Linked DNA regions of Rhinolophus ferrumequinum. The protein of the gene in region 2 purifies or fractionates together with the protein of the main gene of each other region. This does not show direct contact. Links are inferred from orthologs where the notes say so. Each region holds a gene or a part of one and is shown on either strand. Other genes may lie near its edges. The genes, in order: FAM162A, VDAC2 and RAB7A.

Region 1 (10,797 bases), on a different chromosome or scaffold from region 2:
ATTCCTCCCCAATAAAACAATTTGGACAAACTGTTAAGTTCCTTATACAGCAATGGGAATTCACCTGCATTTACTAGGTGAATCAATTTCAGTGTTACCAGTGGAACCTATAAATGTGGATTATCAAATATATCAATTCTTCTCTGTGTGCTAAAGAATTATCAATAAATGACCTAGAGCTCGGCTTTTGTATAGCCATATGAGGTTCTTTTAATTAAAATTAAAATTTAGTTCCTCAGTTGCACCAGCCACATTTCTAGTGCTCAAGAGCCACACATTGCCAGTGGCTACCTTATTGGAAAGCACAGATTTCCACCGTCCCAGAAAGTTCTATTGAGCAGTGCTGAATTAAGAAAATATGAGTCTCTAAACTAGGAATTCACTTGTTCAGGGATTGTCAATAACTATAAGCTATTCTTAAATGTCACAGAAAAGGTACTAGAAAAGCTCAAGATAAGGAAAGAAGGGGATAAGATGCAGGAATGAGTTTCTTTCAAAATTGGAAAGGGAGCAGGAAAAGAACTATAAACGCCCTCGCTAAGTACATATTTCTTTACAATGGAAAAAGCCCCGGAGCTCTTAAGGCAACTCCAAGAGGTCTAGAAAAGAGCCTGGCCGGTCCTCACAAAAGGACAGCATTTGGAAGGTTAATTTAAATGCAGGCGCAAAAGAGCTGCTGTTAAATAGTGTCTCGTTCATAAGGAATTACTATCTGCCTGATCCCTAGCCCCAAAGGCATAACCTCTCTCTCACAAATTCACCAAGAAAATATACAGAAGATGCCCCTGAGCAGATCATACACAATAAATGGCAACACAAGTCTACGGAGATAACAGAAGACACACGCTTCAGTAGCTCGCTGAAGGCTACATCTCAGTGTAGGACCTGGAACGCTAATCATCTTCTAAATGCCACAGCACAGCAAAAGAGAACTCTGCAAATTTTGTCGTGCTTCCAGCTTCTCCTACCTTGCGTCTTCCTCAAAACAAGAAGAGATTCTGACATATCATGAATACCTCATTTTAGGCTGACCTTTTACCATTATTCAGGTACTTATCCTGGAATTGCATTTTGTCTTACCTGTAATTGTGGGGTGAAAATCTCATCCTCTTGGAAGGCAATTTCAGTACTGAAGCAGTGCTCACATTTAGTAGTAGGGAGGAGTAGAGAAAAATTTTTATTGCCCCTACAATTATATTATAGTCTATCCCTTAGGTTAATCCTCAGGTAAATTCCTTTCACTATTTGAGGCAGTTTTTAGGGTAGATGGGGGCAGTGGGCTGGGAAAAGGTCTATTACATACAGGACAGTAAAATGCAAATGTACTCCAAAAACTAACCTGGAATTTAACCTTTCCTCTCCTCACCCTCTGCCTGAAGATACCCAGTAGATCCCACGATGCTCTTTTTAGACAGACCTGGTTCCTCAAACCCAATTTTTATAGCAGTGCTTACACTGTGTTCTCCACAAGCCAGAGACACAGATTTGCCTGCAACTGCCAGTCTTCTGACACCCAGTACCCTCAAGCACAAGGACAGAGAGCAGCTGGTCATCTTGCAAAAGGAACCATCTCTGATGCTAGAAAATAGTTTATTTAGTCTGTACCTAATTACCATATACCTCAAAATCAACTGTGTATAAATGAATAAATGTTCCTAACAGTAATACAAAGACTTAAAACATTCTGGGAGGGAATACTTAGTTGATTTTGTTCAGGTGATATATGGATCTCAGACAGGGTCAGGAAGAAGAGATTTCAGGGTAGCCACAAGTAATAAAAAAGCATGGAAATAACAAAGAACATAATGTGTTCAGAGAACAGTAGGCCTTACGTGGCTGGACAACAGAGATCAAAAGTACGTTGGAGGAGGCGGAGGGTTGGGGGGAGAGAAACACGCATGAATAGACCAGTGGTTAAGAGATACAACTAGACAGAGGCAGTTTGGGATTGTACGACATGTTAAGTAGTTTAGATCTAGTCATGTAAGCATAAAATTAGATGCATGGTTCAGATTCTAAAATTTAGAAGCTTAGCAGTATAAAGCCACAATATTATGGAGATTGGACTGAAGGGGCAAGGGTATGTATTAGAAAAAGGAATGACTGAAAATGAGGAGACCTATCACAAAGCTAGTTGCAAAAATGACAAAGCCTGAACAAAGACAGTGGTAGAAGTGATGAATCCTCCCTAAAGCCCCTATTTGCTCTTCTCATCCCCTCTGCTCAAAAATGACTCCCTAACCTCACACTTGGCATCCAAGGCCTCCACAATCTGGTTCCAATCTTTTATGTAATCTCAATGTGCCCCTGAGCAAACCCTGAATTCCAGCAATACTGATTAGCTATTTCCACCAAATACATAAAAGTTTCTGCCTTATATACTGTTTTTCCTACTTACAAATACTCTTGATCCTGTCCACCTAAGGCCCATCTCAATTACCATCTCTTATTTCTCTGAACCGTTATAGTATTTTATTCATATACATTCTCAATATTTTCTATATGTTTTATGTCTCTACTTACATTAAGTTCCTTGTTTAATATCCAGTCCACTAGGTCTTCCCAAGTGCCTGGAACCTAGCAGTATCTGTTATGGACTGCACTGTGTCCTTGCAAAATGCCTGTGTGTCTGTATTTGGAAATAGGGCCTCTAGGGAGATAATTAAGGTTAAATGAGGTCGATGGACAGGGTCCTAATCCCACAGGACTGGTGTCCTTGTAAGAGGAAGAGACACCAAAGATCTCTCTCCTACATGCATAAAGCAGCCATGTGGGGACACCGTGAGAAGGCAGCAATCTGTAAACCAGGAAGAGAGGCTCACCAGAAACCAACCCTGACAGGACCTTAATCTTGGACTTCTAGATTCCAAAACGGTGAAAAAATAAATTTCTATTTTTTAAGCCACCCAGCTGTGGTATTTGTTATGGCAGCCCCACCAGACTAATACAATATCTCATAAATTCTTGCTGAATGTTAAAATGTTCAGTTTTAAACATTATTGTCTGTATTTTATTTCATTTTGGAAATAGGAATATTTTCCAGGCATGCTACGTATGACTTTTATAATAGAAAAATAAGAATTGTAAAACTTTAAAACACTTTAAAAACTATTAAATTTTAAAACATGCACCTGCATGGAAAAAAATCAGAACACTAGTTGCCAGAGGGGAGGAGGAAGGATGGGGCAGGGACCAACTGGGAAGGGGCATGAAGAGACTTTCAGAGATGATGATATTATTCTCTCTGTTGATGGAGGTTTGCACTACAGGTGTACGTAAATCTCAGAACTCACTGAACCGTACACTTAAGATTTGTGTATTTCACTAATGCAAATTTTACAGAAAGAAACAAATATTTGACTCTAGTTAATGATATGCATGTTGAAAGACATGTTTAGGAATGAAGTATATTGATGTTTGCAACCTACTTTGGCATTCCATCAAAAAAAATTAAAAGGTGGATTGTGGATAGAGATGGATATGTGATAGAGTAAATACAGCAAATCACTAATTATAGAATCTAGATGGTAGGTACATGAGTGTTCATACAATTTTTCAACTTTTCTGTAGCGTTTGAATATTTTCATAATGAAACTCTGAAATACGTCTAATCTTTATAATAAAAAAATGTGACTTCTTGTTTCTCTTCCACAGTATTCAGTGAAGTGCTTTTCACATTTAGGGTACTTACACAGAAAATGTAATGGTTTCATAGCTTAAAAAAAATTAAACTTTGCTTACTAATTTGTGAGTATGCCAGTTAACCATGTTTTACAATTTTACCAAATTCATCTAAATCTAAATGTTATACTAAAATCTTAGTTTTACAGCAACATCTCTTATATTCTTATGTGCCTCTGAGGCAAGAGGGACAAATGTTATTCTCATTTACAATGAGGTTAAATGATGTGCCAAGGCCAGCTCTGGAAAACCAGATCTTCTGACTTTTAACCCAGGATACTCTCCATTATAAATGAAGTTCTATTTGGAAAAGTTCTAGAGAAAAAATCTGAAAACTTCCCTCACCTTTACTAATGATACTTATTTTATGATCTTTTTATTTATGTTATCTTTGTGAATGGAATGGTTCTGCAAGACGGCTTAGCTTTTGCCCCACTTATTTTATCTGACCTTCCAAAAGAAAAATCAGTGTTCTTTAAGTACTGCTGGATGTTTTAACAGGAAAAAGAGATCCTTAAAATTCGGGTTTAGAGATTCAAATTATAGAAATGGAAACAGTTTTACGTGTTATTTAACACAACCTTATTTCACATATTCAAAAGTTAATTCCCAAAGGGGTTAAGTGATTAGCTCAAGGTCCCAAAGCTGTTAATGGCAGCAGTACTAGAACCCAGAAAATCTAACTCCCTAACCCTTTTTACGATAAACTTTAAAGCTATCATTGTTCAATTATCTGAATTTATTAATTCAAATTAAACCATAGTACTAATGTGGCAAGACCAAGGCCACGAAGGGGCCAGTAAACCTTAAATATTCCATATACTTTAGAATTCAACAGTCTTTTTATCCTATTTAAGATTACTATTTGTATTTGTTGGGCACTTTGATCACATTTGAAGTCAGGTTTTGTGCTGAGCTAGTCTGAGAAGTAGCTTAAGTGGTGAGGAGGGTGCAAATAATGACCCCACATAAACTTCTTTGGCCAAATGATGTTTGTCAAAGAATTTAGTCTGTTGAGGTTATCTTCAAGAATACTACTCCCTACAAAGGCTCAAGGCACAAAGCTTACTATAGATAGGTCAATGACACGTGAAATGATTTTTCAGTAACGTTAAAAATACATTTGTAAGGTCGTGATTTTTTTAATTCAACTCTATCTAGACAGCAGTACATTGATGCTTACAATGGTACATACAACTTTCACAGCAACTTGGTCAAAATCCAGACCCTGTTCTTTAATTCATGGGTTAACATTTAACCCTAGACTTCTGATGTTTGAATATATAAAAGATACCAGCCTTTTTCTTAAATGTTACATTTTCTCTAATGGTTACTAAGGCAGCAGCGCGGGAGCTGGTACTAGAATTAATCTCCCCTCCAAGACTCCAAACGTTCTGCCCTATCAAAATAGTAAAACTTGTACCGAGTTATTTTGTTTTATCAAGCAAATAAGTTCTCCTTCACTTTCTTCTCTCCACAAATGCTCAAGTTAAAATAGCAGGGGAATGGGAAAGGCTGAGTTCGGGGGATAGCTAAAGAATTGTTACAATCCCTACCAACCTGGCCGAGTTCGTCTTCACTACCGCGCAACCACCCTGAGTTTCCCTTGCGGTTACTCAAGGCCTGGACGGCTCAGAGAGAACCATGACCCCCACGGAGCAGCCTGGCTCCCGAAGGCCAACCCCGCGCCCCTCATGACCTCCAATGGCTGGAAAAAGAAGCCTTGCACTGCCCGTTTCTCCTACAACTGGTCCGCACTCCCTCCTAGGCCAGAGAGGGGAACAGGGTCCAGGGACAAAAGGAAGAACACGCCTGCCCCATGAGGAAAACCCCATCACCTGGAACTCAGCGAACTCCTCACAGTTCACACCGCCACTGGGCGCCGCCATATTGGACAAACTCGAGGGCCCCGTCGCGAGCCAATCACGGAGAAGCAAAGGCGTCCGCGGCGCCGCCTGACAAAAGATATTTCTAGGGATATATCCGCGAGACAACTGAGAACTGGGATTGTCTTTTCGGTGGTCCTCATTCACTTTGAAACTTGTATCCCTGCTGTCTTTTTTTCTTTCCCATCCTTACCCCTTTAACATGTCTTCCTGGAACCGACCCAAATGCATGGATCGAAGAATGTCAGAATTTGAATGGATCATCTTACACTAATCCCATCTTATAGAAACAATTTCCTGTTTGTACCAACTAGGTCGCACGAGGAGGAAACCTAGAGTAGATGTGGTTTTCCTTAACCCTCCCACTCCATTATCTACCTCTTGGCTCTTGAGCAGAGGGGCCTTTGCTCCTTAAGAATTTGGGACCACTAAGAAATAGCAAGAAAATACATTTCTGGCAGTGCGGGTGGATAAGGGTTGAATAAAGTGTTTATGTGTGGAAATAATGTTTGGTTTTACAAAACTAGGTAAATAGAAAACAATAGGAAATACACATGCTAATTTCTCAGCCTGAGAGACACTCCCAAATCCCACAGGGATTGGGGCACTAGGCCCCAGTTATGCGTTTCTGATAAAGGCACGTATTCATTGAAAACACTGGAAGAACACTGTACTGAAACACTGATTTAACCACTAGGCCCTGTGATTTCGGGCGTCTACAGTTCATAAAGTTTACAATGACCATATTACTTTTCTTCTATTTTAAACGGGGACTTTCGTAGACGCAAATAATAATATTCCAAAGGCCCATTTATCACCAGACTCCAACACCAAACGCTGCGCCGGGCAGGACCGGGCAGGACGGCACTGCCCGCGTATTCTGCACGAGACGCACGTCCCACACGCCCCGCGCCCAGTGCGTCACGCACGACCCTCTCGCTCCGCCCTCACGTCCCACACGCCCCGCCCGCCAGCGCCAGCCCTGTCCTTCCTGCTGCGGCACTGAGTGACTTTGAGTGTACCCACGCCACCGCCGCCCCCGAGGCGCTGTACTGGTCGGCGGAGTAGGCGGCCATGGGAAGCCTCCGCGGCCTGCGCCTGGCGGCGGGTGAGACGCGGGTCGTGCTGCTTGGGGCGGCGGGGGGCGGGGGGAGCGGGAAGCCAGCTCGGCCACTAGGGTTCGAGGAATCCTGCAGCCTCTGCGGGCCTGGTAGTTGCTTGGCATCACGCACTCCGCTCAAGTTGCTCGGAATCCTACCCGCAAGGTAGCAGTAATGGGAGTGAGCAAGGGTTGAGCGAGCAATTGCTAAGCAAACACTGGGGGCTGGGACAGAGTGACCCTCACACCTGGCTCTCCATCCACCCCGCTCCCACCAACTTTTGACCCCTTGTTCCTCCATTCCTTCCCTCTGCTCCATCACTAGCCTCCTCGGAGCTCAGTTCTTAAGGTAACTGCCATCCCTAGAACTACCCCCACCCCCCCGCTCATTGCCGGATTCATGCAGCTTTCCATCCTCACCTCTCTCCTCCGTTACTCCACTTGAGTCGTGAGTCTCCCCTCGCCCCCATCTCTAGGGTTTATCCCAGCTTTCAGCGGAGAACCTATAGTCTGGAGTTTCTACCTGTTTAGTGTCTGATTAGTAGGCAAGGGTATTAAGATCTCACAGAATAATAATTGTTTTCTTAAAATGGGGGATATATTTCTTTTAAATAATTCTACAATTAAGTGCTTCGAATTTCTTGGAGGAAAGTATTACGTCAATGCAGGATCTGTGGTTTGTTTTCCTAGTTGACGTTGACATTTATATAATGGGTATTTGAAGTCAGGGCTTAATTTGCTTTCTTGGGGTACCAGCAGAGCCTTGCTTAGTAGAAGCTAAGAAGTCAGCGTTTGCCTCTTGGCTCTTTACTAGGCACTAATGCCAGTCACTCCTTTGGTCACCTTTATGAGTTTCGATAAGGCATAATATTGATCTCTTATTCCTTGGTATCAAATTACTAAAAAGTTCTTTAATTCAAAGTTTAAAGGAAGAATGGCCCCAAACTTGGCTATGGAAATTATGTAAATGTACATTATAAATGAAGTAATGTAAAAAAAAAGTTACCTTTACATACCTGGCTTACTTTGCCTTCCAATGGAGAGTGGACTGAAAAACGGTTTCAAACTGGAGAATGTTATTTACGTCCTTTAGCACAAATACCCCCTCCACTAAAAGAGATTGATTTCATTGATTTGTTCAGCTTTGTTGAACTAATTCGCCAAAAATCTTTTGTATACACTAGTCCCCCCAATCAGTGGTTTCGCTTCCCTTGGTTTCAGGTACCTGTGGTCAATCATGGTCTGAAAATATTATATAGAAAATTCCATAAGTTATAAATTTTAAGTTTGGGGCTGTTCTGAGTAGTATGATGAAATCTTGCACTTTTCCATTCTAACTCACCCAGGAGGCAAGCCAGCATTTCGTCACTGTATACACTACTAGCTTGTTAGTCACTTAGTACTTGTCTTGATTATCAGATTGGCAGTTTTGATACCGCAGTGTTTGCGTTCAAGTCACCCTTATTTTAGTTAATAATGGCCCGAAAGCGCCAGGGTAATGATGCTGGCAATTCGGATATGCCAACGAGAAGCCGTGACATGTACTTAGGTGTAGGATGTGTAGGATAGGGTTTGGTACTATCCATTGTTTCAGGCATGCCCTGGGGGTCTTGTAGTGTATCCCCTGTGGAAAAGGTGGGACTACTGTACATCCAGTTAACTGTTACAAAGCTTTTCAGCAAGGCAAGTGAAAGAACCATCACTCTGTAAAAACACTGAAATAGACTGAGTGAAAGTGACTTTGACTACATAGCAGCTAAGACTGGATGTTTATAAGTAGTTCATCATCTTGCCTTGAGAATGTATTTATGCATTATAAAGATTCCAAAGCCTCTCTGCAGACTTGCGATGTTTAAGAACTTTTGTCGGGCACTCACTCAAAATTCCATGAGCCATTTAAGAACAGTTTCACTCCAGACAGATCCACTAAAGATGTTATATGAGCAGCTCTTTCCAAATGATCTTCCCTGAATATCTGAATGTTTTGTGAGCAAGTCCAAACAATCCAGTCTTTCACCCACTTTTGCCCACTTTTGTATTTTATAGCTAAATACATTGACATGTATTATTTTACTTGACTGATTTCTCTCAGAAGCCTTCTTCGGTCAATCTTATCATCCCTTCTCCATTTGACAAGTAAAGAAACAGGTCAGAGGATTAAATGACTTGCACAGTGTTAGAGTCAGGAGATAAGCCTGCCTTCTAATTCTGGATCTTGTGCTCTTTGCTTTGTTCAAGCTGTTTATTCACAACAAGGGTGTATATGTGTTTGTCCCCGGCTAATTTGGTGTCTCTCTTGTGAAATGACAGAGTCACGAAATGCAGATTTACTTGTGAAAGGGAAATACACATTTAGATGCAATTGGATTTTCAAGTAAGAAGACTGATTTAACAAGCAGCCTTAACCAGATAATGTAGGTATAGTCAATTGGTCCTCTTACCCACGGATTCAACCAACCACAGATTCAACCAACCATGGATCAAAACTACTCAGAAAAATGTTGCCTTGTTGCTGATGTGTACTGTGTCGTTAGGCCTATGGTGGTTGCATCGGTACTAAGCATGTACCCTTTTTTCCTTGTCATTATTACCCGAACAATATAATAGCTATTTACATCATTTACATTGTATTAGGTATTAAAAAGTATTTGACAGGTAATTGAAAGCATTCCAGAAGATGTGGGTAGGTTATATGCAAATACTATACTATTTTATATAAGGGACTTGAGCATCCTTGAATTTTGGTTTCCAAGGGGCTCCTGGAAGCAGTGCCCATAAGATACCAAGGAATGACTGTATACCTCAGTTATCCAGAATATTATTTGGAATAAGATACTCTAGGTGAGTGAAATTTCAAATAGCCAAAGCTTAATCCTTAAATGATGGACCTTTATTTTTTATTGTTTCTGTTGGAAATCTTTGGCATACTCCTTTAGCGAATGGACTTTTCTGAGCTTGAATTTGTTTGTTTTGTAGATATAGATCAGGGTTAACTTACAATTCTTGGACTCCTTCATAGATGAAAGGTCCTGTGGACCTCTGAAATTATTATATATATAAGATACAGTTATATTCAAATGTTTATGATTATGTACCTGTTTTTGGGAAAGAGGATCCATAGCCTATATCCATTACTCAGAGCAATCTGTACTCTAAGTTAAAAATGATTTGGAGCTAAATGGCTACTGGCCCACATTTCTGTGGGTTTCGTGAGGGTAAAGACTGGATCTGTTGTGTTTTTACTAAATCCTCAGCACTTAGTGTCCAGCTCACAGTAGACAGGCACTAGATATTTTTTGGAAGAGAGACACTGGGAAATATCTTTGAACATGCTTCAAATATAAGGTAGGTGTTCTTACCTCCTTTCTGAAAGTATAGAATAAAAGAGATATAACCTTAGGACATTGTGTCTTACTACACAGAAAAATTATTAGGTCAAAGGAATGGAATGGCCTTATAAGAATGTTTCTTCACACCTTCAGAAAAATTTTACTGTCCTAAATGCCTTTGACGTCAGCAGATTTTAAAATGAATTTATGATTATTTTTATACCAATGCAATGGACCATGGGCAGCCTCCTTGTCAGTTTAACCCACATCACTGAGCACTGGAGTCAAGAAATCCCTTAAAAGTCTTGTAGTCCAGTCCCTCATTTTAAAGATGAAGAAACTTAAGGACCAAGAAGGAAATTGACTTGCCAAGGGACGCACGCGTACACCAGTGGGCCATAACCAATATCTGCTGGCTCCCATTCTGATTTTATTGCCACTACATTCATTGTTCTTTTGGCTTGTTCTTGCTAACCAACTCTAAATGAGTACCTACCATTTTTACTGCTCCAGTCTTTGGCTTTGCTTATCTCTCCCTCCAGATCTTGCCAACAGGTTTTTACTGAGCCCATGCTTTGTGCCCTGTATACTATGAAAGCTCTAAAATGAGTGGGCTGCCACTCCTCCTAGGGCTCGAGTTTATTTCAGTGAACAAGCATATCTATATAATACAACTGAGCTTATACATGACTATATTAAGTTCTAGATGACAGAACAGATTTTGAGTTTCGCTGTGGTGTCCTGGAGCTGGTTCCTAGTGGCTTTATTGCACATCTCATCCCAGTTTTACAAAGTGTTGTTA
Region 2 (10,230 bases):
CAGTGAACTTCACTTCCATTCCACCCTTCCATGGCTCCTCACCACCCAGAATGCTCCATTGCGGAATCTCACATCCCAGCACCCCACATTCTAGCCACAACCACAGCTCTTGGTCCCCTGTCTCACTTTCTCATTTCATCTCAATGTTTGCTTCAATTGATTCCCAGGCCCTAGTCCCAGTATTGCCCTTAGACCTGGGCAAGAGAGGCCCAGGGCAGGCCTCTGCGCCTCATAATTTAGAGGGCTCGACTCTAACTCTTCTCAGATTGTGCTTATTCCTATGGGGTGAGGAGCCTGCAGGGCCTAGGGAACATGCCCACCAAAGCCCATGCCCACCCTCTCCATTTCTGGACCAAACTCTGGATACAGAAGATCTGTGTTCCCTGTTGAAGCGTCCTGAGCCTGCTTCTGGGGCTGCATGGACTTCTTCCCCAGAGCCTTTTCTCCTGAGCATGGATTGAACTGCCAGTGACACATCCCTAAGCCCATGGGTGGTCAAGGAGCCCATGTGAGTGGTGGGGGAGGGTGCTTAGATATGTGGGCTGGCTGTACCCTTCACGCTGTGGGACAGTCTGGGACAGGAAGAGAAGGGATGTGTATCTAGGGCTGGCTCTCCCATGTGACCTCATCTGGTACAGACAGGAATAGGACTGAGTCCTCATAAAGGAACCTTCAAATTTGGTCTGGCTAGATTACAGGACTGCTGTGGACCCCCAAGTAAGTCCTGTTCCCCCCCCACCCCCCTCTGACCAGGGGTGTCTTTAGCAGTTATCCTGCACCGCTAACCCTGTGTGTGCTGGATGTGTGTATGTGTGGGGCAGACAGTTTGTCTCTTTAGTTCATAGGTCTTCAGATCAAGAGGAGTTGTACGGGAGTTGCTGCATTTAAGGAACTACTCCTGACGCGCCACTTGCTGATGCTATAAAGGCTGGAGGTTTTGGGAGGGAGTTAGTGTATTTTCTGTGTAGGAGAAATATAAATAATGTGACCAGAGCATCGCCTGTGGTGATTTACGAGTAAAATATACCCACAAATTCTTTGACACTCCTTTCAAAGGTGGAGCCTAATTCCTCTCCCCTGGAGTGTAGGCTGGTCTTAGTATCTCACTCCTAACAAACAGAATAAGGCAGAAATGACAGTGTGATTTCTGAGGCTGGAACGGGAGACATTGTGACTTCAGTCTCTCTCTCTGATCACCTGGTCTGCGAGAGGCCGGCTGCCATGTCATGAAGACACTCAAGTAGCCCTATGGAGAGGTCCTGTGGGGAGGAACTGAGCCTCTTGCCTAGAGCCACATGAGGAAGCCGTCTTGGGAGCAGATCCTTGAGCACAGCCAACCCTTCAGAAGACTACAGCCCCAGGGAGGCCCTGAGCCAGAACCTCCCAGCTAAGCCATTCCCTAATTTTTGACCCACAGACACGGTGAGATAAGGCATTTGTTGTTTTAAGCTATTGAGTAATAGTAATTGATACTCTGTATTAATAAAGTAATGAATACTTTACCTCAGTTGACTGCTTCTCAGGATGTGACACTGTTGATCACTCCCTCCTCTATCCAGGGCTCTCCCCTTGGCTTCCAGGAAAGTACTCCCTCCCGAGTTTTCTTTTAGCCTCCTGGAGAGTCTGCCAGTTTTCTTCATTAGCTCCTCTGATGCTTGCCCCTGCAACACCAATGCTCCTAAGGCTTCTACTATTTATTTTCCTTCCCCATCTCTCATTGACTTTCATCACACCCATGGTTAATCATAATTAAAACTAAAGTTTTCATGCCAGTGTCTCCCACCCAGACCTTTCTCCGAGGCTTCATAACTGCCTATGGGACAACTCTGTGTAGATGTGGCCCCGGGCTCCTCATTCTTATCTGAAAGTGATTCATCCTCTTCACTCGCACACCTGTCCCTCCTCCTGTAGCCCTTTCCACACCCAGTGGAATCTTTGTCCTCCTAGTTCCTCAAGTTAGAAATGTTGTTCCTAGCCACCCTGGATGCCTCCTCCTCACTAGCTACTTTCAGGACCTTCAGCATTTGACTCCTGTCAACATCTTTAAACTAATCTCTCAACGTTTTCTATACGTTTTCCCAGCTCTACTTAATTATTTGTGGTTTCCAAAGGATTGTTGCCTCTTCAAACCCCAGTATGGCTTTGCACATGACTCTTTCTAGAATTTTGCTTTTCCATCCTTGGCCTAATGGCTTTTTCATTTTGATAAGTCCTACTTTCAAACTTTAGTGCATGTGTTTTCTCAGTCTGACTGTGCCCACAATTTTCTGTGCTTACATTGAGCATTGTACTTGCAACCCCTGAATTCCCATCCTTTGTCGCGGGACAATCCTCGTTGGTGTTTCTACAGGTCGTGGAACAGGTCTGACCTGAAACTATCTTTACAAGGATGTTTGCTACCCAAACATCCTTAGGACCTAGAGGTAGTGTCTCCCTTTAGAAGGCAGAGGGCAGATTTTATTTCCTGAGAAGTATACTATGGTCTCTCTCGGGGCAAAGGATGGACAGATTTGTTAGCAGCTCCTTATAAGACAGGGAGTTTTCTAAACTCAGGATTCCTTAGCTGTGACACAAACACATGTTGTGCACAGCTTCTACCCAGGGTGGTCTCCATCATCCTTGTGGAACACACAGGGCAAGGAGAGCTGATTTGTACACGAAGCTTATGCTGTCTGCTGTACCCCAAGTAATAAAGTCCTTTGTCTCTGACCTTCGAGTTTCATGTCTTCTGCCAGAATCTATGAACCTATGAAACCATGGCACGCTAACTTGCTATCTTGCAAGTAGGGTAAAATCTTGGACACCTCACAGTTCTTAACACCTCTGCACACACTTGACTCTAAGTGCCTTGAGAGCAGGAGCTGCATCTGAATGGGCTCCGCTACCCCTGTGGGTGACACAAAGTGATGCTGCTTTGGTCCAAAGGGCTTTGGATGTAAGTACTCGTATATTTACTGAATCCAACTTTGAAATAAATTACTATGAATCTTCTGGTTATTAGATATAACCAAACCCCATTACATGCCCCATGTACATGTACAAACCCCATGTACATTCCTTGGATGCGTAATGGGTGAAGCCTCAGATCAGTGTTCTGTGGCAAAGTGAAATTCTCTGGGGACTAAAAATGCTACAGATACAGGAGTCCCCACTGTTGATGTAAGAACATCCAAACCTGTATTTTTATTTGTTTATTTAGGTGAAAACTGATAACAATTTCAGGGAAGCAAGATCTCAAATGGTCTAGAGAATAACAGTTTTGCATTTCTTTTATGCATTTGAAATTAAGGATGGAATTTAAAGAAGATTACATGAAGGTGAGAGGAAGCAAGGTGGGGATTGAATTACAGGACAGTTTACAAGATGTGCTCTCTTGAGGTTGGTTACTTCTCTTGAGGGTTATTACTTCTGGCATTTCAAAGGTGTGTTAACCTAGATGCACAAGAACAATGGACAGGACTTGTTTAAGGCAAAGATAATTCTTTTACCAGGGAAGTTATATGCCTGGAATGTGATTACCTACCAGGACCTGCCCTGTTAGGAATTTATGATCAGATCCCTCTGTGAGGTTACTTTCATTTATAACCCCTTTTTGTCCACACCCCTTATCCACAGGAGATATATTCCAATACCCCCACTCGATGCCTGAAATTGCAGGTAGTACTGAACCCTAAATATTCTGTTTTTTTCCTATACATACACATACTTTACAGCTTCTCTTTGGCGTATCCAAGTTGCCAGCATCACGACTCTCGTGCTTTGGGGCCATTATTAAGTAATATAAGGGTTACTTGAATACAAGCACTGCTATACGGTGACAGTGGATCTGATAACCAAGATGGCTAGAAGGACAAAGGGCTGATTCACATCCAGGGTGGGAGGGAATGAGACAGGGAGCAAGATTTCATCACGCTACTCAGATCAGCACACAGTTTAAAACTTATGTTTATTTCTGGGATTCTCCATTTAATATTTTTGGACCGCGGTTGAGCACAGATAACTGAAACCAAAAAAACCAAAACCATGGATGGGGGGAACTACTGTAGTTCACAATGTGAATACGCCCTACTGTAGGTACTGGAGGTGACTGAGCAAAGACTCGGTTTTCCTGGGAGGTGGTGTGTCATGCTGCCATTTGGGATGGGATGTCAGTTTCTGCCACGAGCCTCACAATTGCATCAAACGTAGCCAGAGCAGACCGGCTCCCAGTGGAACTAGGCTGATTTCAGACCAACCTGTTTGAGATTGAATGATGGAATTAATTTTCTGGTGCCTGAACTCTTAGGCGCAAAGGCTCTCTCTATTCTTCTTATAACCCTTTACATGCACAGCCAACCCCTACCATGACCAGGCAAGATTGCTGTCTGGGTTTGCTCATGGAAGGTAAATCCACCATGGCAGCTATAATCTGGGCTTGGATTGTGGAAGTCTATCTTGCTACTATACTTTTCCTGGTTTAGGAGGAGGGTGGAACCTTGGCTTTTAGAATCAGAGGAAATCAGGGGGAAAAAAGCTTTCCTAGTCTATGGCTGAATGGCTATTAAAGACCACTTCATCTCATTTAAACGTCATTTTATAGACGAGAAAACAAACGGGGTAGAAGGGATAAATTGCTGAGATTGGCGATTGATTCTGGAGCCTCAATTGACCCCATTTCTCTCTCTCTAGACGGCTCCTTTTTTCTTGTTCTCTTGGCTCCCTCACTGTCCTGCACACCCAGGGAGCTTGAGGACAGCGTTCTCCTGCCTGGTCAGCATGATTCCTAAGTTTTCTAGCAGGCTTGCCTCACCCACATGGCTACGGTTCGGTGCCTGTGTAAAGCAGCCCCACCCCTAAGCCGGGAGGAGGCGGCAGAAGAGGAAGCCTCAGGCGAGAGCAAGGAAAAGGGGCGGGGCACCCCGAGACGTGCTCCAGTCTGTCCCCCGCGGGGCAGAGAACCCGACAGCCGCCCTGCACGGCAATTACACCGCCGTAGGAAGCGGAGGGGGGTGGGAGGCGGCGAATGGCTGGCCGTGGTGCCCCTGTGCTCACTCCTTTATCCGACTCTAAAGAGACTGTTTCAGAAGCACACGCTGCACGTGCTCAGGGAAACCGGGCACAAAGCTCAGCTGACTCCTTTCAGACGCCCTACACCACGGATGGTGTGCAGGGCTTGGGAACAGCCAGGAAAGGGAACTGGGGAGCTGTACGTGACCTCCGGCGTGTGCCGCCGCGCCCCACGCGGGCACGCGCCTCGCGCTCCGCCCCGCCCGTGACGAGCGCGCGTGGAGCCTCCGCCCCATCCCCCGCCCTCGCGGTCCCCTCCGTGTACCATCCGCCGTTCCCCGCCCCATCGCCGCGGGGGCTGCCCTCGTAGCTGCCTGACCAGAGGGCCGGCAGCTTCTGCCTTTCTGGCTCCAGCCGACGGACCGAGGCGGCCCACCCTGGGGACAGGGGTTTCCTCGGCCCCCGTGGCCGTTCCGGAGCAGGTTGGAGTGGGCAGCCGGCGGCCCTGCGGGGACAGGCGCGGTGGACAGCCCCGGGGACAGCGGCGGGGTCCTGGCGGGGGGAGGGCAGGGTTGCGGCGGGCGGAACGGTGTCTCCTTCACTTCGCCCTCCAGCCCCGGCAGCTGCAGCCCGACCCACCGCGAGCCGAGCGGCCTTAGCTGCGAGCGGAACGGCGGCGGCGGCCCCTCTCAGGAGACCACTAGGTACCGCCGCGCCCGTCTCGCTCCGACCTGGGGACCTAGGCCTCGGCCGTCCAGCAGGAGGCCTGAGCCCGACTCGGGGTCGGCCCTGGCTCCCTAAGATGGCCGCGCTGCCCCGCGGCCCCTCGCCCATCTCTTGTCTGAGACATTCTTATGGCCCCTTGACCCGCTTCTTACTCTCGCTGACCGCACTTCTTGTCCCTTCCGCAGATCACCCATTTCCGCGGCCTCGCCATGGCGACTTACGGACAGAGCTGCGCGCGGCGTAAGTCTGGAGCAGGCATCTCTGCGGGATGGGGCGGTGTTGTCCGGGGAGTCGGAGCCGGTCCCCCAGAAAACCGCAACTTGTTTCCCCCCCATGTCTCCGAGGACTTGGAAATTGGTCCTTTTCGGTAGACACTCCACCGTCTTGACCGCCTGGCTCTGCGGAGGAGGAGCTGGGCTGCTGGATATCGGATGAAGGGACTAGGCCGGGAAAGTTGGTCTGTGGCCGCATTCACCTTTAGCTTTTGGACGTGTGTGAGGAACTCAGAAGCAAAAAGTTGCTGATTGTTGGATTCGGTCTTTGGAGGGGTTGGATCAGACTCTTTTTTGAGGAAGTAGTAAACCCCCATGTACTAGCGCAAGGTCATTACACGTGCTCCTAAGGGCGTGGACTCACTTTGTAGAATGAATGAGCTTGTGTGTGAGGAGCTTAGATTGCTTGCCTTTAAACCGCACGGTATTGACTAAGGACTTGAGTATCATGTTAATATGTTTAAAGTGCCATTTGATATTTAGTTGATGTAGGCACTTGAGTGAAACATACATGGCCGTGTTATTTCTATGTTCCAATATTTAAATTCCCGAAGTATTATATACAGTTCTCTTCCCACTCCAGAATGTAGGTTTTGACCTCAGTGAGGATATTAAAGTATATATTGGGGGAGAAGGGCTTGCCTTAGGTTTTGATTTTTATCTCATTTGGTTAAATCTCGTTCCAGTGATTTTGGCAGATGCATCTAGATAGATGTGTATGTGTTTGATTTTTTTTTTTGGTACTAGTCCAATCCTAACAGGTGAGGCTATAGGCACTGAGTAAATTTAGGAATAGAAGTCTGTTTTTCAATTTTGGAAGGAATTTCCCCAGTTTGTCTAGCCACTTATTGTGGTTACGCATTTTAGAAACAAGACTGTCTGTGGTATGTCTTCCATGGATTGTTAGAGTACAGTTTTATTGTTGCTTCTGGTGGTATCAAAACACATCTCCAACAAGTTGGACTGCTAGAATTTAAAGAGAGCAGCAGGTCATAATCCAGTTCTTGGACAGCAAGTGGGAGAACAGGAAACATTAACATTGGAATGTTTCTTTCTACCAGCAATGTGTATTCCTCCATCATATGCTGACCTTGGCAAAGCTGCCAGAGATATTTTCAACAAAGGATTCGGTAAGAACTTCTCTTTTTAAACTTTAGATCAGAAGTGAAAATATGTATTTGGATTGCTTAAGGAAATTAAGTTAATAATTTCTTCAAATTGTAAATATCTTGTTGCATTAATTCTTTTATTGGATACATTTTAGATAAAATGTCTATTAAAATAGTTCTGTAACAGTCCACATCCCCCTCCACTTCAATTTCCTCCAGTTTTTTCAAACTATAGTTCAAGGATTTTACCTTTAAGAAAAAGCAGCTGTGCTTTCATTTCCTTCAGTTGTAGTTTAGACCTTGATTAATTAGAACTATTCCTATGATTATGTATGTATGTTTTACTTTTGTGGTGGTGCCTCTTAACGGATTATGGGCTTGTCAAGTGAACTTGGGTTTTCTTCTTGAATATTTTGGTCCACCCCCTTCCACTTCAGATTATTTCTCCAGTTACTTAGATTATTAATCCAAAGGGGAGATAGGAACCTTTGGGATAAATGTTCTAAATGTCTATTATAATAAACTATTGGCTATTCTGAGATTTAAGCTGAATTAGTTCTCCAATCTGATGTTTAGGTTTTAAAGTTGTTTGAAAGCTTTTTTTGGGGGGGGCCGTGCCAAATAATACACCAAAACACTAGGCAAACTGCATAGAGATGTTCTCTCCATTACATGTCAGTTTACATAGGATAATTAAAAATTTTTCATTTAACTATTGTGTATCAACCTTTTTATCTTCCCCCTCCAAAAAAGGGGAAACCTTGGGTTTTTCTGTGTTTTTTTTTTTAACGTATAGTCTACTACTGATATGCATTTTTGTACAAAAGAATCATTTTGTTATCATTTACTCTCCACTTTAAGGTTTTGGGTTGGTGAAACTGGATGTGAAAACAAAGTCATGCAGTGGTGTGGTGAGTATTAGCTATCTAATAAGTTCTGATGAGCCTTTATGTAATTTTCTACCCATAAAATAGTCATAACTGAAAGATGTCTACCCAATTTGTCTTAAGAGGCAGAAGTTAATTTTATTTTAAGGGATTTGCGTGTAACTTGATTTATTTTGGCTTTGGTTGTTTTTTCATGTTGTCTTTTGCCATATTACTTACTGTGTATGCACAAGTAACTCAGGAAGGACACTGGTCATGTGAGACTGTTTATTCAGTAAGATTACAGGCTTGAAGGCAGGGAACCTGTTACACTTTTTCATAACCCTTTCTTTTAACGCCTATTAAAAGCATTAAGAGTTCTGGGCATAAAAATATTCAGTAACTCTTAATTTGAGTGTACTAATCGTTTATATAATGGTTATATTCTAGTAGCCCTTCTTGGGGAAGATTTCCCCATGTATTTTGTGAATTTACAGAATCCTGATTTGAGTGTTTTTAAAGAGGTTAATATTTTGGTATTTGATGTCTTGATTCCTCCTCACAAACTCCTCCCTTGCAGGGAGTAAAGTAAAATTTAGTTTTGTATAATTTCTTCCTCTAAAATGTTTGTTTTGAGATTGTTACGGTGATGGGTATAGTGTGTGCATATTGAATATTATTAGTTATTTTGATAAATTCTTGCTGTAGTTGATTCCCTTAGTGCACGTATCTGGTATTAAAATTAATTGTGTTATAGTTTTTAACGCCTAGACTTGGATTTCTTGGGTTTTACGTTTGTCCTGAGTGTCATTTGGTTTATTTGATCTGAAAAGGACGCCTGATTGTTCAGGTGGTTGAGTGACTTATTTGCTTAATGTAACAGGTTTCAGAGTAGTGACTTCATGTTTATTTTTTGTATTTCTGCTTATAACCTACTGAGGCACCTTATAAACACTTGCTGTGTATTTTTGAAACACAAAAGGCCTTTTAAAAAAAAAAGTAAAAGACTCAGTCCTGTGTTTTAAAAACTTATTTGATGGTTGGAGAGAGAAAATAAATTTTAAACTGGGGAAAATTAGAGAAATATATCAAATACTAGGTTGTTTGATAAATCAAAATCATTGTTGGAAATGAAGGGCTTATTGTGGACAGGGTTAAGGAAAGTTTTATGAAATTAGGTTTAAGATGATGGATGTATAGGAAGTGGGTTAGATGCAGTATATTTTCGTTTCCATTTAATGTATGTAGTTCAACAAGCATGGTACTGATGATGTAATATGTACCTGGCCCCAAATAAGTCTCATTAATGGCTGGCTGTATTCTCATCTGAACTGCAGAGATGTCCAGTCCACCCCAGAACATGGAAGCCTAAAGGTCTGCTAATGGAGTGAAGGGTGTAAGCTCTGCCAGTGGTGTTATCTGGCCCAGTTTTGGTCCCACAGTGTGACCATCTTGGTTTTGTGTCTTGAGGATTCTTTGGCTGGCTGTCAATCTGTGGGTCTATTGATGGCAGTGGGTGGGGCCTCAAGAATCATTAGTCAGTGTCACTCAGGAGTTAAAATAGCGACTCAGACACATTCCCTATTGAAACTACCTGCTAGAAGAACATGTTCCGTATGTATTGTTTTAATAATGCCTGCCTTTTGTGTAGAGCGCATGAATATGTGCAAAGCTTTCACAGTGTCAGTCCAGTTTAATCCTCTAGAGATAGGTTTTGTTATTATAATCAAAGAAACTGAGTCCCAGAAAAGTTAAATGTCTTCCTTTGTATTACTCATTCAGTAAACTACAGAAATGGACGCCAGGACTCATAATTTTTTTTGTAGTGTTCTTTCTTAACATAATTCAGGGTTCTTTTTTAGTATGGACTTTGAGTGTCAAGCTTTGACTTGAAATTCCTGTTAATGAAAGCATTAACAATTTCAAGCAATTGTGGATAAGACCTAAGGATTTGATTCTATTTCACTGCAGAGCAGTAGTTACACAAATGTTCTATTTTCTAAGTGAAGGGTGGTTGGCCTTTTATCCTATTGCACAGTTTTTGATGTTTCCTCACTATGCAGGTATTATTCATTTCAGATTGAATAGTTCAGATTGGCCATCTTCGTTAGACTTGGCTTTCCAGTGGCCAAAGGGTATAGCCATTATTAGCAGACAAATTGTGAGTCAGAACCTTCAGAGGGCTTTTTAATATTTTATCTTGGAAGATTTCAGTTGCCTGCCTGAATATATACTGAACTCTGAAAGATTATTAGATTTCTGGATTATCTG
Region 3 (10,831 bases), on a different chromosome or scaffold from region 2:
CTACATTGAAGGACAACGACATGGAGCTGATGGGCACTGGAGAAACACACTGTTCCCCAATATTCCCCAATAAAATAAAATAAATTACTTAAAAAAAATGGTGACAGGAACTACTAATATTGGTTCTCTATTGATTTAGGGATTTGGTGACATATCCAACAATCAAAGAGTTTGCCTCCTTTAACTGTACTTTGGGATAGCTTTATCAAGACATTATCTTTCTAAGCATAAATGATTATGAAAAGGGATAAGAAGAAAAGGATGCTTGATTTAGTTGTCATTGTAACAGGTGAAAGCATAAATAGTAAAGAAAGTGGGAAAAGCAGGGTAAACTTTTAACAATTAATGGACAAAGAGGAGATCAGGAAGTAAAGAGCTAATGAAGATTATTAAGAGTTTATGAATTTATACCAGGGGTAAAAAAACAGAGATTCCAGGCTACTTCCAGTAGATCTTGAGGGTCTGGGAGCTGTCAGCTAGATAAAAGAGGGTAAAAATAGTAAGGAATAGAGTAAAAGCAGAATTGTTAAAGTTGGGCATTTCTGATAAAGGATTGGGCATTAGGTATCAGTTTCTTTACTCTCAGGATTGTCTAAGACAAAGTTCTTGTCTTAGAGACAACTTTGTCAGGTGTAATCTGGTTTCGGAGATAGGTTTTGAGGTCCAATGTTTGCCTGGAGTCTGAGCCTTCTTTAAATGAGATGAATCTAAGGTCAATGCCTTATAATTTGGCAGCACAAAGATTCGTTAAAAGTACCTGATAAGGTCCTTTCCAATGAGGTTGGAGGGAGTCTTTGTGTTGATGTCTTTTCTAATAGACAAACTCTCCTGGTTATAAATGGAGAAGCTGGTCTTCATCTCCAGGAGTGCACTGTGAAAGGAATCTTGAACAAGGTTGGAGTTATTTTGCAAGGTACTAACTAACTGTTGACAATAATATAAAAGGTCTCCTTTTATAAGAGGTTGTGGATAAAGTCCTTCAGTCAAATATATAGGTCTTCCTGTTACATTTCAAAATGAGAAAATTTATGTTTACCAAGTGGAGTGGAGCAAAGATGAAAAAGAACCAAAAGGTGAGAGCTATGGGTCATGAGAGTCCAAATGCCATGCAAATCTTGGCCAGTTGAGTTTTAATTGTGAGGTTGTGCATCTACCAAACGGGAAGATTAGGGGTGGTGTGCACAATGCAAGTGTTGGTAAATAGGCCAGATTTTGCAAATGACCTAGACAATCTGTGCCATGAAATGAGCTCCTTAATCACTGAATAGTTCTGGAGGGACTCAAGTTGGTATAATCTTTTCTAGCAAGATTTTAGCTTTGGTCATAGTTGTAGCCTGATGACAAGGGAACTTATACAGCAGTTTGTATTTTCAAAAGGCTACGTTTTTTGTTTTTTGTTTTTTAACTTTATGTGGGCAGTGTTTTGGTTAGTTACCGGCTGTTTACATTTCGCAGACATGATAAGAGTCACAACTTTCAGAGACAGAGAAAAACTAAGTATTTTAACATTTATATTATATTATTACATAAACAAATATAATCAAAGGTTCAGTATTATTTATTTGACAATGTTTCCCATGTAACTTACACATACCCAATAATCCTAATTAATTTAATTTCCTCCTTTTATAAAGAGAGGAAACAAATATTTGAGGTATTTCAAGGGTCCTTCTGAAAAACTCCAAAGTTCTTAAAAAATGTTAAGAAAAAGACTATTTTTTGAATCTTCGGAAGCTCATCAAACATATCAGAAGTTCTAAAACATTTGGTCAAATAAGATAATAGGTCATTGTGGAACAATACGTAAATTATCCATATCCATGATGACAAACAATAAAGACTTTGTGGACAAATACAGAAAGTTAAATAGCTGTAAGCAAAATTTAGTTCTTTTAATATTAAGATGACTCAGTTTACTTAACTAAAGACTTGATGATAAAGCGTACAGGAAATCATTTTATTAAAACATTTCTTGTGTTTTTCTTTTGTAATCTCTTATTAAAAGCATACTAATAGCACAGGAATATCTCATTCTTTCAGCAGAGAAATAACATAATGCTTTAGCTTTGCATAAACACATCATTGATACTAAAGCTTAATTAATTTTTTAGCCGTTATAATAATAATTTAAATTTATCCAGCTTATGTATGAGGTAAAATTATCTTTCTTTCCATTCTGAAATAACCAGAACAAAATTATTTCCATTTCCCTTAATGAAAACATATCTCCATATTTTATAGCATTTTTTTAACTGAAAACATGTATCAATTTCTTTCATATTAATTAGAATTCTTAACCCATAGAAATCTTAAGTTTTGTGACAACCAAAAGTAAGCAATCAGCATTCTTTAGATTGGCAAATTTATGAATGCATTTCATAACCTCTAGAAACATATGCTTTTTGGTAAATATATTTTATAATTTTTTAGAATCATGTATTTTCTTAATAGAGTATAAGGCATTTTTTACGAATAGACCCACACATTTTTATTTTTCTGTATTAAGAAGCCCAAAGTAGGTAAACTTAGATTCCCTTAACAATTAATGTTTCAGTGTTTCATCATACTTGGAAATAGATCTAGATATTCAATCATTTTTATCTTTTAATTTATTAATTCCCAAAAAAATATATTTACATTACTCATAAAAATTTTATGAGACATTAAACAGAGCCACTTGTTATAACTATCTTCCTGTTGACAAACCCTATAACAGAGATAATATGAACTTTTTTTATAAACCTAGATAAAAATAAAATATTAGATGTTAATAAATTTAAAGACATGTCTGTTTTCATTAAACTAAACAAGTTAGTTTCAATATTAAATATAGTTTCAGATCATGTGATCCTGAAAAATATGTGGGTTAGTTTCTGTTATGCTTCTTAATCTACATAAGTGCTTAATTTCTTTAAGCCATTTAAACAGAGCTCTTATATAAACTAATTTTAATAATTTCATCAGAGGTAGATATGAGTATACATACACATATATGAGGTCTGACAATTAAGTTTGCGAACTCATCCTAGAAAAAGTGCTACACACCTCATTGCTGAGTATCACTATGGTCACCTTCGAAGTACTCCCCTTGGGAAGCTATGCACTGATGCCAGCGCCTAGTCCACCCTTCAAAGCAATTTTGGAATTCCTTTTTCTGGAATGGCCATTAGAGCTGTCATTGTATTACCCTTGATGTCCTGAATATCATCAAAATATCTTCCTTTCAATATTTCCTTTATCTTCGGGTAAAGATAGAAGTCATTAGGGGCCAGATCAGGTGAGTAGGGAGGGTGTTCCAATACAGTTATTTGTTTACTGGCTGAAAACTCCCTCACAGACAGTGCCGTGTGAGCTGGTACATTGTCGTGATGCAAGAGCCATGAATTGTTGGCAAAAAGTTCAGGTTGTCTAACTTTTACATGCAGACGTTTCAGCACTTCCAAATAGTAAACTTGGTTAACTGTCCAGTTGGTACAAATTAGTAATGAATAATGCCTCTGATATCAAAAAAGTTAGCAACATCATCGCAACAAGTTCGCAAACTTAATTGTCAGACCTCCTGTAGACAGAGACATACAGAGACCTGATAGTTCAATCTAAAAAATTTAGCCATGAGACAGGTTTATAAGGCTAAAGAGAAAAAGCCATTAATTTATAACAGTAGGAATAAGTTAAGTTTATTGATCAGGTGGCTAAGGCTTTAAGATTTTCATCTCTCTTTGATAAACAAGTTTTAAGGAGACTGTGGGCAGGGCAGGGGTCTGCTTGGGAAAGGGAACCTTTCAGCAACTTGTATTTTTAAAAAGAGCTTTCTTTTCCAATTTTTTCTGTCTTTTTTGGGGTTAGTTGAGGCAGCTCAGGGTTGTGTTTACATTTTTGGTTATCTACTTCTACTTCCTATCAGACTTTTACTTAAAATTTCTAGGTATAGAGAGTAATCATCCATCAGGGGAAGTCATGTAGATCGGGCGATAAGGAGGGATATGTGGCAACAGCTGAAGGAGCATTTGATGGGCTTTGAAGAGAAGATGGTTTAAGGAATTTTGAAAGTAAGGGAGGGACGTTGCTTACACACGCCTTATCTTCTAATTTCTGGAGGTATTAAGTTTAGAATTATTTTCTTGGAGGGAGGCAATGGTTTTCTTCTGCTTTTGAGGCCTCAAAATACCAATTAAAGAAAGCCTCTCATTTTCTTTGGCGGTTTTGAAAACCTTGGCATTTGAATTGAGATCTCAAATAAGCTAATTTGGAAATTTCAAAGGTACCCCATTTTGGCCAAAAAATGTTTAAAATTGTCCCGTGTAATTGTTGTCCAGAGATTAAACCATTTCCAGCTATCAGGACGACAAATTTTTTTTAACATAAATCTTGTAGGGTTGCTGGATGGCGGCTAGCCAGCAGAGGTCATTTTAGAACTAGAATTATTTACTATGTGAAGGCGTCCCTACCAGCATAACTTGAGAAGATTTTTATCTAATATTTTACGGGTAACTCAGACTCTTGTGACCCCTATGGGGGCACCTCGTCCCTCTATGAAAAGCCTTATAAAGGGGTCCTTCCCTTAAGAATAAAACTGTCAGAATAAAACTCTCAGATCTCAACCAAAAGCATAGGGGGATGGAGGATTTGAGAGGACTCACCCATGCATGCTTCCCCACAGTGGGGGAAGGCAACTTGAGCTCAAAGAGCTTTGAAGGCAAGCGTAATGTAGTGAGTTCCACAACAAAGGGAGATTAGGGAGCTGCTTCAAATCCCATCTTCATCACCATTCATGTAAACAAAGTCCAGAGATACCTTTTTCCAAATAAATTTAGTTTATTCAGATAATGACTTGTAAACCAGGAAACATAGCTCTTGATGTGAACCAAGAATACATTCCAAAATGGAGGGGATAGGGCAGGGTTTATAAAGGCAAAAGTTGCAAGCTGTTGATCAAAGAAATGGGTTCTAGGGGAAACAAGACCATAAACTTACATATGTTTTCTGATTGATGGGGGCAACTGGACATTCATTCAATGGTTGGCTGACTCAGTGATCAAGTAAGTGGGGTTGTGAGGTGAGAACAATAGGTAATATGTGGTTAATCATTTATCGAGTCCTCGTTTCAGCCCAGGCCTGTAGAACAAAAAGGGTGTCTTTGATCACACATTGTATGGATGAAAAATGCGGTTCTATGAAAAGTAACCTCAAGGGTGATCTGATTATAAATTCCCTGTTGGGCAGGTCATGAGGGGTAGTCATACCCCAGGCCTATATGTTCTTTATTGAAAGGTTTTAAGCCAGCCCTGTCCATTGTTCTTGTGCATCTAGGTTAACACACCTTTTAATGCCAAAAGAATACCCCTTAAAGGGGGTATTAATTCTCAAGAGAGCTTGTAATCTTGTTAACTATCCTGCAATCCAATCCTCAATATGCTTTCTGCAGTCTTCCCTACGTCCCCTCCTTAATTTCAAATGCATAAAAGAAGTTGCAAAAATGTTATTTTCCAGAGCATTTTAGATCTTGCTCCCTGGCATATGTAGTTAGGCTCAAATAAACTTTCATAAAAATTCTCTACAGGTTTGGATATTCTTACGTTGACAATAGTACAGGGAGTATTATTCATCTGATAGCTACAGCAGTACAATCAATTGATACAGGAGTACAATCAAACAATACAATCAACACAAGGGGGCTGTTGGCTCTGCAGGCCCATCTGGAGCCCAGAAGGGCAACGTTATGCCCTGCAAGCAGCTTCAGAGCTCAAGCTGTAAAAATCCAAATATTGCGCCACAAATTATGAAATTAATATTCTTATATTCTTAAATCCTCGCTTTTCTGCAAGAGAAAGTGTTCTGTTAATGTGTAATTCTCCTGTGTCTCTACCACCTTGCTAGATCATTGGTGCAGTCATTTCCAGTTTACTAGAAAGATCAAACACATTGGTATCAGACATATTTGGTTCACATCCCTGCTTTACCGCTTAGTGTGAGCTAGGTCCAAGGTTACCTGTGCTGGGTCTCAGTTCTCTATTTCCAAAATGGTTAAAATAGAGACAATCCAAAGGTGTAGTATGGGTGCACAATAGGTGCTCAGTAAATATGGATGCCCTTCCTCTCCCTCTGTAAATTTGTGAAATAACTACTGCCTTGTCTCCCTGGGAAAACCCCCTTCCTAGAGCAAACTTTGTTGATGCTGAAATGTTCGGCACACAGGCCTACTTGGTTGACTGATCAGTGTCTCCTGGAAAGTGACACTAATGGAAGGTTCAATTTATCCTCTCTTTTCTTCCCCTAGCACTCTTATTCCAGGGGAAAGGGGGATGACTGAAACATCGGTTTTGGGGTTCAACATAGCGCCGTCCTGCTCCTTGCACGAGACTCAAAGATGGCGACAACCTTCCGGGGGCAGACATATTTGTAGCACGTGATCCAGGCTCAGGCCAAAGGAGGCCGAACGTGACGCGGGGTTAAGGCGGGGCTCCTCCCCCGCACCCTTGGCGTGTAGCGACTCGTGACAGGTACTTCCGCTCGGGGTCGCGGCGGTGGCGGAAGTGGGAGCGGAGTCAGATTCTTGGCCGTAAAGCCTGAGGCGGCGGCTGCGGCGGCGTTGGAGGTTTAGAGAGCGCCGAGCAGGCCTTTCAAACCGGAACTTGGACTTCTCTGCGCCTGTCCTCCCTTGCGTCTCCTCGGCGGGAGCCCTTGTGACGCGCCCAGCCCGGAGCCCCCAGCGGAGCGGCAGCGGTAAGCAGCGGGCCCAGCCTGGCGTGTGGCCCAGCCCCATCCCCCTCCTCAGCCCCTCGGTCGCCAGGGCTTCGCGTCATCCCTTTCTTGGGTAGGCTCTGGGCCCAGCCCCGACCTCGCGGGGAATGTCCTTGTTGCTAAGGGCCCAGGAGCAGGCCCGGACCGCTCCTGGCCGGGGAGAGGTCAGAGGTTGCCGAAACCGGCCACCCGGGAAGGTGTCCTGACTTGGGTGGCCGCTGGGCACTGCGGACCCTGTGCTGCGGCGAAAAGAGCTAGCCGGTTGAGTTCGTTCGAGCGGCGAAGTGGAGGATGTCAAAGCCGACCCCCCGGTGCCGTGTCTGGCGGTGGACGCGATCCAGGCGCCACCAACCGCGCGGGCATTGGTAAAAGGCGCCCAGGGCTGAGCCACGTTCCCATCTGTTTCTTCAGTTGAACAGCCTGACCCTGTTAGTGAGAGAGGTTTCCTGACAGCAACTAAATCAAGGCAGTGAGTCAGGTCACGTGCACTGGGCTCGCTTCAAACACTTGTATACATGTGATACGCCTTAGGCTCTGGGAGACGGGGAACTTTTTATCATAAACTTGTTAATGGCAAATGCTGAAAGAAATTTTAAAATTATATTGTGGGAAAGGTGGTGGTTGACTGTAGAGCTGTGTTTGAATTCCAACCGTCTCTTACTCCATACTGATTCCAAAAAGTGGGAAAATCGAGAACAATAATAGCAAACATTTGAGCCTTATTGTATGCTGGACAGCCTGGCAAGACCTTTGCACAAGTTGTTATGTTTAATTCTCAGAACAACCTTCATAAAACTTTAGTACATAGGTGTCCAGCCAGTTGGTTCTTTCCTGTTGAAAATACTGTATTTTCTCTTTAGATTTCAATAGAACAGGCTCTTGTCTCTTCCTTAAGCAACTGATTTAGTCAAATGACTTCTCATCCATGGATCAATAAAATCTATTAGTGTGTTTATCTTTTCAGACTTGGGAGAATTTGTTCAGGTTTAAGTCCAAGAACTGGAAAGTGAGATTGTGAGTACTTCTGAAGACACTGGCCAAAGAGTAAAGCTTAATACTCGCAGCCCTATTATATTCTACTTTTTGTTTTAACTTTGCCACCCAGCTTGTTATATTTAAGTGGGTGATAAGTATGGTAGCTTTAAATAATATTTGGTTTTAGGGGAGAGTAATGATGAGCACCTTTTCATTCATTCATCAAATGTTTTTAGAGTACTGTTCTTCCCCGAAAATAAGACCTAGCCAGACCATCAGCTCTAATGGGTCTTTTGGAGCAAAAATTAATATAAGACCCGGTCTTATTTTAATATAATAATTAATATTAAATTAATATTAATACTAAAATAAGATCGGGTATAATATGTAATACCGAGTCTTATATAATATAATATATAATGCTGGGTCTTGTATTAGTTTTTTTTTTTTTTTTTTTTTTTTGCGTGTTGATTTTTTTTTTTTTTAAATTTATTGGGGTGACAATTGTTATTAAAATTACATAGATTTCAGGTGTGCAATTCTATATCACATCATGTATAAATTACATTGTGTGTTCACCACCCAGTGTATTAGTTTTTACTCCAAAAGAAGCATAAGAGCTGATGGTCCGGCTAGGTCTTATTTTCGGGGAAACACGGTATCAGGCATTGCTGGATATTGACTCAGGGAGAAAGGCATTTTTCCTGTCCTCAAGGAATTTAAAGATGGTGAGTGATCATGGTCTGGAATTGTGTGGTGGAATGGTGGTAGAACTTGAGGCTTTTGGAAAGAGGAGTTGTTTCTCATTTCTCATCCCTGCAAGTGAATCTGCAGTTATCCAGACAGTCTGGTGTTCTGGCTAACTTGAAGGCTTTGTTACTTTTAACAACGTTTATATGGTTTGTTTTTGAAGAGAGTATGGAAAATAATATTACGTTTTGAACTATCATTCTTTTGAAGAGTAACCTTCGACACTAAACTTATTTCTCTTTTTGGTCTGGTGGCATTTTTTGTTCATGCAAGAGGGAGTTCATGTCACTGCCATTTTACACTGCAAATGTTAGCTGTTGCATGCTCTTTGTGCAAAGGTACATTTGGCATGCTGGATTTTTCTTCTTCAGCTGATGAAGAAAGTTTAACGTAGTGCCTATCAGTCATAGTACCAGTATCATCCTAGGTAAAACCTTATGCCATCTATGTGCCACAACTGTTATGGCTCCCTTTCTTTAAAAGGGGATGTGAGTTTGCATTTGTGGTAGAACTGCATGAGTAAACAAACAGAAGGGTGGAGTGTAGCAGAAGGCATTCAAAAAAACAGGTTTTTTAGTATATCCTTCCAGGTACTTGTTAGCAACCACTTGGTACAAATTTTTTTTTTTTTTTTGGGTGCCAACCGGGCATAAGTCCCAGCCTCATAATCAAAGGGCATTGCTTTATAGTCAAGTGTGGCATTGAATCCAGTTCCTGACCCCACAGTCAAGTGCATTAAAAAGGTTTTGGTTATTTGATTAGCTTTTAATAAATCTCCGAAGAGATCTGCACTAATAATATTTTCACCCTTACATTAGACGTTAGCCTTCTGATGCAAAGGTGTAGCAAACCCAGACCACACATCTATGACAGTCATCTTATGTACTGTTCCTCTCTGAAATTTGACATGTTTACCATTATTCCTGGGATAAATTGTCTTCACTCTCCGTCTATATAATTCAACACATATGGCTAAGAAGGATTTGACCAGATATTGGGCTGGGAGTTACAGATGCAAAGTCTTCCATGGAAGTAAAGAGAGGAGTCCTCCTGAGTAAAGCTAAACAGTGGTTCCCCTTGGCACTAACATCATTCTCTGAAGGAGACTGAAGTGCTAGAAATTAACTGCTGCCCCCCACCCCATTTTTGTGGCTGCTGGCTTTCTGTTGACTCTGACTTCCCATGTAAAGTTGGCCATTGTATTCTCAGACATACGTTCCTATGTGTTATCAAACACTTATCTGTTAATGCTATCTAATAGATCTCTATGCTTCTCTGTCTGCAGTTTGCTGCAGCAACATTTTGCAATGTGTCTGTCTCTTCAGTTATTTTCTCTCATATCTTCTATTTTCTGCTTTTTCCTTCCCACATATGGCATTAAACTCAGACAAATAGTTTGTATTTATGTTTTAAAACTTGTTAATGGTGATTGTGGTCAGTGAATCAAAGGTAAAAGTGATGTGGGTGAAATTAGAACAGGCTTTATAGCAGCGTTTCTGACTAGTTTCAATTTTAGTAGTCCAGGCTGTGATTTCAAAAACAAATTTAAGAATAACTACTTGCAAAATGTCTGTGGGGGAGGAAGAAAGCTTGGGTGTTGGTTCCAGTGGTGACATACAGTATTGGCTTTGTTCATTTGCCTGAAGATGCAGTACTTAATGCAGGAGACCTCAAGCCTCTGCCTGGGGCTCTCTGTTCTGTTGATGTCATCACTGCTGGAGAGATCCGTCTGACTGCTTCTGTTTTCCATTTTCTGGTCACCTAGGATTGCTTGCTGTCAGGACAGAGCAAATTTGAGGAAGCATACTATTAAGGGAGGCCTGGGCACCTGAGCAGTGTTAGGAATTCTGTAACCTTGCATGGCTCTCAGATGGGCTTGCTTGTGTGACTGCTGCTGATAAAGTGAAGGAGCATCTTTAGTTTTTCCCTACCCTTTCAAGTAAAGATGGCTTTCTTTTTACTACCGGCTTTCCTGTAGTTACCCAGCTCCGTTTGGGAATCCTTTAAAAATTGTGAAGTAAATAGTTAAAACATTGGTTTCCAATCTTTGTATGCAATTTTAATTAAAACGTTTTATTTCCATTTGACAAAACTTCTAGTTTGAGTTATTTGAGACTGTATGACAAAGTGGCTATGAATTAACTTCTAAAAAACTGAGTTGTAACAACACAGTTTATGAAAAATAGTGCCTTTTACATACGGTATTAAATCTGTCTACCAACAATTCTCTGTGCAGTTACAGATCTGGGAATTCCCTGAAACAACTCTGGGTCATCTGAGCAGCCCACAGGTTAAGAGCCACTCTTAAATCCTCTGACCTGTGCCATTCAGTTGATAGTTGTTAAGGAGCATTAATGTTTTGTAG

The links.
Region 1: the proteins of VDAC2 (region 2) and FAM162A fractionate together in Homo sapiens (co-fractionation; 3 studies listed by BioGRID and IntAct, with this or other methods). This does not show direct contact. The link is inferred for Rhinolophus ferrumequinum from reciprocal best matches to the Homo sapiens genes VDAC2 and FAM162A.
Region 3: the proteins of VDAC2 (region 2) and RAB7A purify together in Homo sapiens (affinity purification with mass spectrometry; 3 studies listed by BioGRID and IntAct, with this or other methods). This does not show direct contact. The link is inferred for Rhinolophus ferrumequinum from reciprocal best matches to the Homo sapiens genes VDAC2 and RAB7A.

The regions. Positions count from the first base shown.
Region 1 is NC_046285.1:47,178,876-47,189,672, forward strand, and holds the start of FAM162A (protein FAM162A), read left to right. Parts: upstream 1-6,518; 5' UTR 6,519-6,641; coding exon 6,642-6,675; intron 6,676-10,797. Other genes in the region: protein MIX23, read right to left, coding at 5,520-5,570. UniProt on the Homo sapiens protein: Proposed to be involved in regulation of apoptosis; the exact mechanism may differ between cell types/tissues.
Region 2 is NC_046299.1:52,267,817-52,278,046, forward strand, and holds the start of VDAC2 (voltage-dependent anion-selective channel protein 2), read left to right. Parts: upstream 1-5,356; 5' UTR 5,357-5,468; intron 5,469-5,600; 5' UTR 5,601-5,690; intron 5,691-5,897; 5' UTR 5,898-5,921; coding exon 5,922-5,952; intron 5,953-7,045; coding exon 7,046-7,114; intron 7,115-7,954; coding exon 7,955-8,004; intron 8,005-10,230. UniProt on the Homo sapiens protein: Non-selective voltage-gated ion channel that mediates the transport of anions and cations through the mitochondrion outer membrane and plasma membrane.
Region 3 is NC_046302.1:578,843-589,673, reverse strand, and holds the start of RAB7A (ras-related protein Rab-7a), read left to right. Parts: upstream 1-6,498; 5' UTR 6,499-6,723; intron 6,724-10,831.